2 linked regions of the Oryctolagus cuniculus genome follow. The protein of the gene in region 1 interacts with the protein of each later gene in a biochemical or structural test. Links are inferred from orthologs where the notes say so. Each region holds a gene or a part of one and is shown in the gene's direction. Other genes may lie near its edges.

Region 1 (5,454 bases):
CAAGTGAATGCTACCAAGTTTCCTGCCATTTGGAAGTACACAGGATTTAACCAATCTCTCTTCTGCAAGCCATTTGGCTGTCACAGCTTTCCTCTTACCATTCTGTCATCTGGATGAATGAAATGGATGAATGAAAACGAATGTAACCCGAGATTCTCGTCTTCCGGGAGCCAAATGGCCGCTTTCCCGTAAGCCCCAGTGGGTTTCTGCTTTCTGTGGCTGAGACCTGCCTCCGCCGTGAGGCCCGCCGTGGCGCCGAGCTGGTTCTGCAGCACCAGGTCCCCCCCACCCCCAGCAGACACCATTGCAGTGGGGTTCTCTCCGCCCCCCGCAGGCCCAGGCCACTTCCGTGTTCCTAGACCCGGGCCATCCCCCGCTCACACATGTCCCACACGTGTTCATGAATCCGATGCAGGCTCCCCATGGCAGAACCACATTTCATTTCGGTGCCCGTTTCCAAGGAGGCGGCGCCGTGGTGAGCCATGGGCAAACACGGGCTGGGTGCGCTGAGCCGCTGACCCTCAGGAGAGCTGCAAATCAGTGATCCAGACCCTGGTTCGGAGAACCGGGCACCCCTGCACCCCTGCAGAATCGCAGACCTAAGTGGTGGTTTTTTTTTTTTTTTTTTTTTTTTTTGTACAATTTTAACATGGCAAAGAGCTGGGGCAGAGATGCAGATTCGGGTTCGTGTGTGGTCCCTGGTCACCCAGTGCTTGTTCTAGGTGGTCTGACCCATGGAGATTCGAGGGATCACCTGGAGGGTTCGGGTGCGGCTCCTGGCTGCACACCAGCACCCAGAGGCCAGTGGGGCCGCAGCCGCTGCCCTATCGTTTTGGTTTATGAAGACCTTGCGCTCTCTGCGCCCGACCGTGCAGGGGGCGGGCACGCGTGCGTTCCTGAACGCTGGGACCCGCCACTTTTGCGTGGGATGTGGCACGCGGCAGGCGCTTTTTTAGGCGCTTGCGGAAAGGGTGACTGGTCACGCACGACTCGCAGGAGGGCTTCCCCTGCCCGGTTCCGCACCTGCTGGGCTCTCAAAGGCCCGGCCCCCGAGGGCAGCTCGGAGGTGCCTCCCACGGCGCAGGTCCTGCATCCCGGAGCTGTCCAGGGACAGGAGCGGCCGGTGGCTGAACCAGCCGTGCCTGCGAAGCCTGCACGTCCCCGCACGGCGCCCGTGAGCCTCGAAATCCGACGCTGCTGGTCTTGGCCGCCCCAGGTGCGGCATGTAGCGTCGGAACGTGGGTCTGGCGGGGCCGCCGCGTCCCGCCCGCCCTGTAAGGATCCGCCCGGGGCCGCTCCGGGACCGACGCGGCGGGGTCCGGGCCCGGCTGTCAGCGGGCGTCGGAGGTCGCGGTTCGCTCTCACGCAAGGTGGCGAGTAGCAGCGCCAGCCCCGGGAGCGGAGCGCCGACGTGACGTCCGGGGAGCTCTGGCTCGGGACCTGGCACACCGCCGGCGCGGGGGCAAAGGCCTCCCGCGCTCGCACGGCTGCGGGAGACTCGGGGGCAGCACGCAGGCGGAAGCTACAGCGGCCACCTGGCTCCGCGGCTCCCACCTGTGGCTCCGCCCGGGGACCCGTGTGGGCGGGGCGGGGCGGGGCGGAGCCTCCGCAACGCCCAGCCAATCGGCGCCCTAGCGGCCCCGCCCACTGCCTCCCGAGGCCGCGGCGCCTGCGCACTCGCGGCCGCGGCGCCCCGGGGCCCCTCCCCCGGGGCGGTGCTGACGCTCGCGCCGACGCGCCGGACGTCGGGCACGTTGACGCCGGCGACGCGCAGCCGGGCCCGCTCCTCCTGCGCTCCGCCAGTGTCCGGCCGCTGGCCGGCCTTCGTGACGGGCGGCGGGCCGCGGGGCCGCGGCGTGGGGCGGGCGGGCGCGAGCTGCCCGCGGCTGCCTTCGTCGGCCCCTGAGCTCGCCCGCAGCGAGCCGCCGCGGAGCCTCGTCGCCCGCTGCCGCCGGCCAGCAAGGTGAGGAGCGGGGGGCTGAGGCGGGCGCGGGGCCCGGGGCGCCCGGCGCCGGCCGGGCCGTCCCCGCGGACGGAGTGTCACCTGGGGGGCCGGGACGCCGCGGGGGCGCGGCTGGGGGCGCGGCCCTCGGCGGGGAGCCCCCACCCAGCTCGGCGCCCCGCTGCTCCCCGGGGGGCTCAGCCCTGGGGGCCGCGCGCTGACCGCGGCGCCGTGGTGACCCCAGCGCCGGGGGCAGGGGCGAGGACCTGTGGCCACGGCGGGCGGGCCTTGTCCCAGGGGCTCCGAGCACCCCCGGGTGCTGGGGCTTGTGCGGCACCTGACGCGGGAGGGGACGGAGGTGCGAGCGGTTGGCGGTGGCCGGCGCCCGCCAGGTGCGCGGCGCTGGGCTGCTGGCTCTCGGGGGTCGCGGTGCCCCGGCAGCCTCCGGAGCGGTGCCCGGCCTTTCCGCCGGAGACACCTAATAGCCTCTGGTCAGCTCGCCTTTCACTTTTCCTGGCTTCCTCGCTGGCCGTCCCGCGTGGAATTTCCACCCCCGCCTCCCCCAGGTTTATTTTTTTTGGGCTGTAAACTGACGTAAGCGAGGTTGACTGACCAACCACGGCAGCCGCGGAGAAACACCTCTGCCCGCCCTCCCCGGACCCGGTTCCCAGGTGCAGCCCGGCATTCGCGAGCCGACCGCACGCGTTCCCGTGCGATGCCCCCTCTCTGCCCTTCCTGCCCCGGCCCCGAGCCGGGCGGCAGGAAAGTCAGGTACCAGAAGCACGCGGAGAGAGCGGAGCCTTGCGGGCACAGCACCCCGCGGGCCGCTCTGGGTCCGCTCTGGGTCCTCGCTGGTCGCGGCCCCGGGCGTCTCTGCCGACCCCCTGCAAGCAGGCAGGACTGGGAGTGGGGACAGCCGGGTGCAGGTGTGTGCCCCGGATGACCGGGCTGCTGCCTGTCTTGCAGATGATGTGTGAGGTGATGCCGACCATCAGTGAGGCAGAAGGCCCCCCGGGAGGCAGCGGGAGCCATGGGGCCGGCTCCCCGGCCCAGCCCGACGCCGACTCGCACTTCGAGCAGCTGATGGTGTCCATGCTGGAAGAGAGGGACCGTCTTCTGGACACGCTGAGAGAGACCCAGGAGACGCTGGCGCTGACGCAGGGCAAGCTGCACGAGGTCGGCCACGAGAGGGACTCTCTGCAGAGGCAGCTCAACACCGCGCTGCCGCAGGTGAGGGCGCCCTGCGGCGCGGCTCCGGGCCGCTGTGGCCATGGCGCGGCGCGGCTCCGGGCCGCTGTGGCCATGGCGTGGCGCGGCGCGGCTCCGGGCCGCTGTGGCCATGGCGTGGCGCGGCGCGGCTCCGGGCCGCTGTGGCCATGGCGCGGCGCGGCTCCGGGCGGCTGTGGCCGCGGCTGCTGACGGTTGTGCTTGCCGCAGCGTTGCTCGGGGCCAGCTCCTCGGGACAGCAGCCGCGCCCTGCCTTTCCGCGCTCGGGCCTGGCGTGGCCAGCGCCCTCCGTCCTCCCGTCTCGCTCGGGCCTGGTGTGGACAGTGCCCTCCGTCCTCCCGTCTCCGGGTCTGACGTGGACAGCGCCCTCTGTCCTCGGGCCTGGGTGTGGGCAGCCCTCTCCGTCCTCCCATGTTGCTCGGGCCTGGCGTGGGCAGCCCTCTCCGTCTGCCGTCTCTGGGCTTTCCATGCAGAGTGTGAATTTCCTGCGGATTCTGTCCCACCGACCTGCAGTTCCCCTGAGGCGTCTGGTAGACAGACAGCTGGGCTTTGCCCTGGACTGGACAGCTGTGTTTTGTGGGTCAGGTTTGTTTCAGGAGCTGGGAGACTGGAGGTTGACCCCAGGGGAACTTGAAACAGCTGAGGCTGTTTGACCTCTCAGGGCGTGTCCTGCGGAGCTGAGTGGGGTTCAGTGGTAGGGGAAGGAGACGAGGGCGGGTGGGCCGCCCAGAGCACAGTGGGGATGCGTGGTTGCTGGGGGTCCGCGAGCTGTCTGCATGCCGCGTTCCTTATCCATAGAGGTGCCTTCGCGGTGGCTCCAGGGCGCTCTGACGAGTGAGCAGGTGCAGGACTGCTGCCCCGGTGCCCTTCTCGGCCGTCCTCGGCCGTCCTGAACACGACGAGCAGACATTCAGAGTTCCTTTTTAGCCATCGCAACTCGATGTTAGTGGTTTGTTGTGCGTTAGAGAATTCATTAAGATTTTTCTCTTTCAAGTCTTATAAACTACCAACTTTGTTTAGGTCAGATTTTAATGCCAAAAACGTCAAAGAATTGGCCGGCCCGTGTTGTGCGGGATTTTACTGTACGTGCTTGTAGGTCTTTTCCGCAGTTTCGTGTTTTGGTCATGGATACGGCACCCACGACAGTGCGTCCGACACGCGGGTGTTTGATGAGGTAGTTACCGGGTGGGGGCACGCAGGAGAGCAGGCCGGTGGCAGTGTGTGGCACACGGAGCCTCCGCGGGCGGCGGCGCCCGGGATCTTTCTGGAGAGGCCTGGTTGGCTGAAGGTGACGCCGCCGGTTCACGTCAGCGCCTGATTGCAGCACCGCCGAAAGCAGCCAGGGGACTTGTTTTGTTCCTTCTCTCTTCCTGGAATCTGGCTGGGCTTCGCTGGCTAATTGTGTGGCCAGATAAGCAAGCCGGAGAATGCTACAGAAAACATAGCTGCCGCCTGCGTCAGAAGGCTTCCCCGATCGGAAGTGTCCATCTCGGTGGATTTCACAGGCAGCGCCGTCCAGAATCAGCGCCCTCACCCAGAGCCTGGGCGCTGCCGGGGCTGAGGTCGGACGTCCTCCCGACCGCCTGCCGAGATTTGCTGGCTGCGTGTAGTACTGGGGACCTGGGAGACGTGGTCAGGTCAGGCCCGGGCTCCGCCCTCATCATGGATTGAGGACGTCACTGTGGGAGCAGGTTAGTTATCGTGAGAGCAGGTTCGCCATCATGAGGGCGGGTTAGTTATGGGAGCGGGTTATTGTGTGAGGGGTTAGTTATCATGGGAGCAGGCTGTGTGGAAGCGGGTTGTTGTGAGAGTTGGTTAGCCATCATGAGGGCAGGTTAGTCACTATGGGAGCGGGTTATTGGGGGTGGGGTAGTTGTCGGAGTGGGTTAGTCACTATGGGAGTGGGGTGGCCCTCATCCTCTCTGTGTTACCTGGCCACCTGCCCTTCTGCCTTGAGAGGAGGCAGCATCAAGGCCCAGGTCAGATGCTAGCGTGATGCTCTTGGACTTGCGGTGTCTAGAACAGTGAGAAATAAGGCTCTCTGAGTCACCTGGTCTGTGCTGTTACGGCAGCAGAACCGGACTGAAACGGGTTCCTGGGAAGCCCTCCCGCCCGCTCCCAGCAGCTGTCCCTGGAGATGGCCATGGGCTTGACTTCTCGTCACAGGCTACATACACCTGTTCTTTATGTAGTCATGAAATAATGTGGTGTTTCGTTTCTTGATTCTTCCCTCTGGTTATGTCAGAGTCGTGGGCTTGGAACAGAGTGCGCGTCCCCACCTGCTC
Region 2 (4,802 bases), on another chromosome or scaffold:
GGGCGCACGCTCACTTGGCAGCCTTTCCCCGCAGATGGTGCACACGCTCGCCAGCAACGGGGCCAACTCCATCTGGGAGCACTCCCTGCTGGACCCCGCACAAGTGCAGAGCGGCCGGCGCAAAGCCAACCCGCAAGACAAAGTCCAGTGAGTGGGGCTGCAGGGGCGGCGGGGAGGGCGTGCGTGGCCTGGGCTGTGGCCGGGGACACACGTTTCCTCCTGTGTGTGCCGTGCAGCCCCATCAAGTCCGAGTTCATCAGGGCCAAGTACCAGATGCTGGCGTTTGTGCACAAGCTTCCCTGCCGGGACGATGATGGGGTCACCGCCAAAGACCTCAGCAAGGTGCGGGGGGCCCTGCGAGGGAGGGGCGGGCCTCTGCTTCCCACCCCCACACACCGCGAGGGCCTCTCCTTCATGACCAGTGAGCCCGAGGCCCCTAGGGCTGCCTGGCCAGGGGAAAACAGTGGCCACAGCAGGGGACAAGATTGCTCCATCAGGCTGTGTGTGACCAAGGCGCCTCAGCTCCCGAGTGTGCACATGAGGCTAACGTCCCCCAGCTGCCACTCAGAAGCTAAGGGCAGGTGCGAAGGCTCTCAGAGCCTCAGTGGTCTCATCTGTAAAATGGGAAAGAAATAATAGCAACTACCTCATAGGTGATATGGCTTCCTGGCAGAGCATACAAGCACACAGCGGCTGGTGACTGTGGCAGTTGTTACGATTTTTTGAATCTTATTTTTATTTATTTGAAAGGCTGACAGAGATCGCCCAGCTGCTTGTTCACTCCCCAAATGCCTACAACAGCCAGGGGTGGGCCAGGTCTAAGCAAGAAACCCAGAGCTCAGTCCAGGTCTCCCATGTGGGCGACCGGGACCCAGGCACCTCGAGCCATTCCCTTCAGCCTCTCGGTACATTAGCAGGAAGCTGGTTCCTAAGTGGAGGAGCTGTGACTTGGAGCAGGCCCTCTGGATGGGGATGTGAGCATCCCAGGCCGCATCCTGGCTGCTGCACCGGGTGCCAGCCCTGAAGGCAGTTTTTATTCGTTGGCATTCACTCCTGGTGGGGAGCCTTCTGTCTTCCCTGACATGGCCAGATTTTGGCTGAGGCCCTTGGAGCTGGTGGGCTTGCGGGGAGCAGCGGGGCAAGGGGCAGCTTGGGGCAGGACTCGTGCACACGCGTGCACAGTTACTGCACACTCCACTGCTTGCAGCAACTGCACTCAAGCGTGCGGACCGGCAACCTGGAGACATGTCTGCGCCTGCTGTCCTTGGGCGCCCAGGCCAACTTCTTCCACCCAGAGAAGGGCACCACACCCCTGCACGTGGCTGCCAAGGCAGGGCAGACGCTGCAGGCAGAGCTGCTGGTCGTGTACGGGGCTGACCCTGGCTCCCCCGACGTTAATGGCCGCACACCCATCGACTATGCCAGGTGAGGGTCGGCCAGGGGGTGAGGCCTGGCCGGTGGGGGCAGTGGGCTGCTGCTGCAGGGCTGAGCCATACCCCTCCCCACAGGCAGGCCGGGCACCATGAACTGGCGGAAAGGCTAGTCGAGTGCCAGTATGAGCTCACTGACCGGCTGGCCTTCTACCTCTGTGGACGTAAGCCGGGTGAGCAGAGCACGGGCAGGTCTGGCTGGGCCTGGCAGGTGGGACCCAGACACACCCCAGCAGCAGGTGCCATGGTGACAAAGCCGGCTGGGGAACAGTGTTGCTAGGCAACTGGCTCCTGTGAAATTGCTGCAGGCTCTGGGCTGCAGCAGGTTGGGGCCAGAGAGTGGGGGTGGGCCTAACTTCCAGCCAGCTCCCAGCGCTCTTGGGGTGGCCTGCCCTCCCCCTTCCCCCCCGACACTTCTGGGTGCCAAGCCCTGCTTGTGGCAGTGGGGTGGGCTCCCAGCTGCTGAGGCCACCCAGCACCAGTGACTTGGCATTTTTATTTTTGTTCAGATCACAAGAATGGGCATTACATCATCCCACAGATGGCTGACAGGTGAGTGCCCACCTGACGCCCCTTCCCAAAGGCTGTTGGATGCCATGCGGACGTTTGACCCCCAGAGGCCCCACCCCATCCTCTCCCCTGGTTTCAGGGGCCTGGGACCCCACCCCACCCCCATCCTGTCGGGGGGCTGGAGGCACAGGTATTTCAGAGCCTAGTCTTCACTCCTAATGCTGGGCCCAACGGCAGGTAAGGATTGCCAGCTCAGTACACGACCAGCACCACCTGAGCCGCTTGACTGCCCAGGGCACAAGGAGGGCCTCTCTGCTGGGAGGGTGGCTGCTGGGCTCTGACCCCACCTTACACAAACCTCTGTTCCGTAGTGAAAGATGGTAGGCTCCAGGGATTGACCCGCTCTGCGGCTACTGCCCAGGCCCTGGGCGCACACTCAGAAATCAGGCAAGGGCCATGCATGGCACAGGGTTTGAGTGAGGTGTTCCCGCCTCTGATCTGAGAGGCTGGGAGAGCCCCAGGTGGTAAGGACACCCCAGGCACTCATCCAGCTCAGGAGATGCATGCTAGTGCCACCTGGTGGCCATCTCTGGCCGCGGCGGTGTTCCACTGCCAGGCTGTAACTGGAGAGGAGCTTGCTCCCTCCCCTAGGAGCTGGTGTGAACAGATGCAGAGGGTCAGGCCTGGGCAGCAGGGATCCCTCAACCCAGACGTCCTGTTCTGAGACTCTCCCCATTGCTCTGGTCTGATTCTGCCTTGTGTGTGCGGCAAAAAGCCCGACTTGTGGGCACGCGCTCAGTGCAACATGGGCCGTGCACCTTCTCAGAGCCAGCAGCTACTCTGGGCACTGCAGTCACAGGCGGATGTCTGACATGTTCCCTGCTCTTGCTCCAGCTAGGGAGGCTGCCCGTCACTGCAGCTCTTGCCGACGGCAGGAGGCACAGGGGTTGGAAATACCACCCGGGATGGGGCGGGAGTCTCAGGAACACAGCCAGGGCAAGAGCCCAGGCCATTCCCAGGGCAGACGGGTTCCAGGCCCGGCGTGTGGGCTCAGCTGTGCCGTCCATGGGCTGTGGGACTGGAGGCAGGACGCTCAGCCCGTCTTGGCTACCTCATCTGAGGAGGGACTGGCAGAGCTGTTGAGAGGATTAAGTGAGATGATGCGTGCAAGGCATCCAGCCCGTACTTAGAAGTTCGCTTTCGGTGGAGGCAGGGCTGAGGCGTGCCCTGTGCACTGTTGGAATGTTGGGTCCCTACAGTGAGGGTGGTGCCACTGGGTGGGAAAGGCGCCCAGGCGAGAGGGAACGGCGCAGCACCTGGGGCGGGAGATGCCGAGGTGCTCCCGAGGTAGCCGAGAGCCCGTGAAGGGGCCCCAGACAGAGCAGGCAGGGTCGGGGTGCGTGCCGAGAGTGCCAGCTCCTCCCGAGGCGGCGCGAGCGGCCCTGCTGCTGGGTAACAGCTGCTGTCCTGTTCTTCCCTCTGCTGCCTTCCTCTGGACTTAGGTCTCGGCAAAAGTGCATGTCTCAGAGGTATAGAGGCTGTGGCGGGCGGGCGCGGGCGTCGCGGTCCTGTCTGCCTGGGAGCCCTGCATGCCTGGGAGGTCACCACAGGGGCCTGGCCACCTCTCACGGCCCTTCTTTCCCTTGCGTCTCCCCTCCTCGTCCCCAGCCTGGACCTGTCTGAGTTGGCAAAAGCTGCAAAGAAGAAGCTGCAGGCGGTGAGCACCCTGATGCTCGGAGCCCCCCACTAGCCCCCCCCGCCCCTGCACCCTTCCTGTCTTGGACCTCGGCTCTGCCTTCCATGTGCTAGGGCTCCCAGGGCCTTAGCCCCACCTCTGACCTACGAGGAATCAAGTAGTCCTGCTCCCTTCTGTCCTCGCCCTCCCTGGAGCTTGGACCCAAGCCCCTGCCTTGTTTTCCAGGTCTCAGAACACGGGGCTGGGTGGCAGCAAGGACACGAGCCTTTCCCCTGCCTCACGCCATCCTAGCCAGCTGGCCTGGCCAGCACTGGGGCCAGTGATCTGACAGAATCTCATCCCTCTCTGCCTCCAGCTCAGCAACCGGCTTTTTGAAGAGCTTGCCATGGACGTGTATGACGAGGTAGACCGGAGAGAGAATGACGCGGGTAAGTTCGGGGATGGCGGTCGGCCCGAGTGCCTCCCCTGCTGGGCCCTCAGTGGAACCCAGAAGAGGTGCCTGGCCGCGTCCCCGCTCCTCCCTCCCCTCTGCCCCCCACGTCACTGCCTCCTGGCCACAGCCAGATTCCAGCCTGAACTGGGGCTGCTGGATGGAGGGCGGGGTGGGCGTTGTTCTGTGCCTAGTCCCCCGCCAGCCTCATCCTGCATAAGCCTACCGCTCTGTTGAGCAGGCTCGGTGGGCATGGGGAGGCCCGGCCACCATGCTGATGGCCTCTCTGTCCCTCCCCCACAGTGTGGCTGGCCACCCAGAACCACAGCACACTGGTGACGGAGCGCAGCGCCGTGCCCTTCCTGCCGGTTAACCCGGAGTACTCGGCTACCCGGAATCAGGTCAGAGGGTGGTCTCTCCGTCCCCAGGAGCCCTGCCCTTCCTCAGCGCTCTGGGACTGGGCTCCTGCCCACCCTCGCCCCTCGCTGAGCTGGGGTTGGGGAACCAGGAAGACGTTGTTACTTTGAGTACTTGGCCTCTTCCCAGCGGGGCCCTGACGGACCAGCCCTGATTCAGGCGGGTGGCAGGGCAGTGCCTGGCGGCCCCGTCACTGCCAGTTAGGGGTCAGCGTGGTCTTCCCTGCCTTGCAGGGGCGACAGAAGTTGGCCCGCTTCAACGCCCGCGAGTTTGCCACCTTGATCATCGACATTCTCAGCGAGGCCAAGCGGAGGCAGCA

Evidence for each region.
Region 2: the proteins of PPFIA1 (region 1) and GIT1 form a complex in vitro, tested with the Homo sapiens proteins (2 studies listed by BioGRID). The link is inferred for Oryctolagus cuniculus from reciprocal best matches to the Homo sapiens genes PPFIA1 and GIT1.

Annotation. Positions count from the first base shown.
Region 1 is NC_091432.1:2,221,972-2,227,425, forward strand, and holds the start of PPFIA1 (liprin-alpha-1), read left to right. Parts: upstream 1-1,757; 5' UTR 1,758-1,963; intron 1,964-2,692; exon of another isoform or gene 2,693-2,713; intron 2,714-2,908; coding exon 2,909-3,172; intron 3,173-5,454. UniProt on the Homo sapiens protein: May regulate the disassembly of focal adhesions. May localize receptor-like tyrosine phosphatases type 2A at specific sites on the plasma membrane, possibly regulating their interaction with the extracellular environment and their association with substrates.
Region 2 is NC_091448.1:45,042,086-45,046,887, reverse strand, and holds part of GIT1 (ARF GTPase-activating protein GIT1), read left to right. Parts: intron 1-34; coding exon 35-147; intron 148-236; coding exon 237-342; intron 343-1,207; coding exon 1,208-1,425; intron 1,426-1,508; coding exon 1,509-1,603; intron 1,604-1,939; coding exon 1,940-1,982; intron 1,983-3,442; coding exon 3,443-3,469; intron 3,470-3,608; coding exon 3,609-3,657; intron 3,658-3,991; coding exon 3,992-4,064; intron 4,065-4,369; coding exon 4,370-4,467; intron 4,468-4,716; coding exon 4,717-4,802. UniProt on the Homo sapiens protein: GTPase-activating protein for ADP ribosylation factor family members, including ARF1.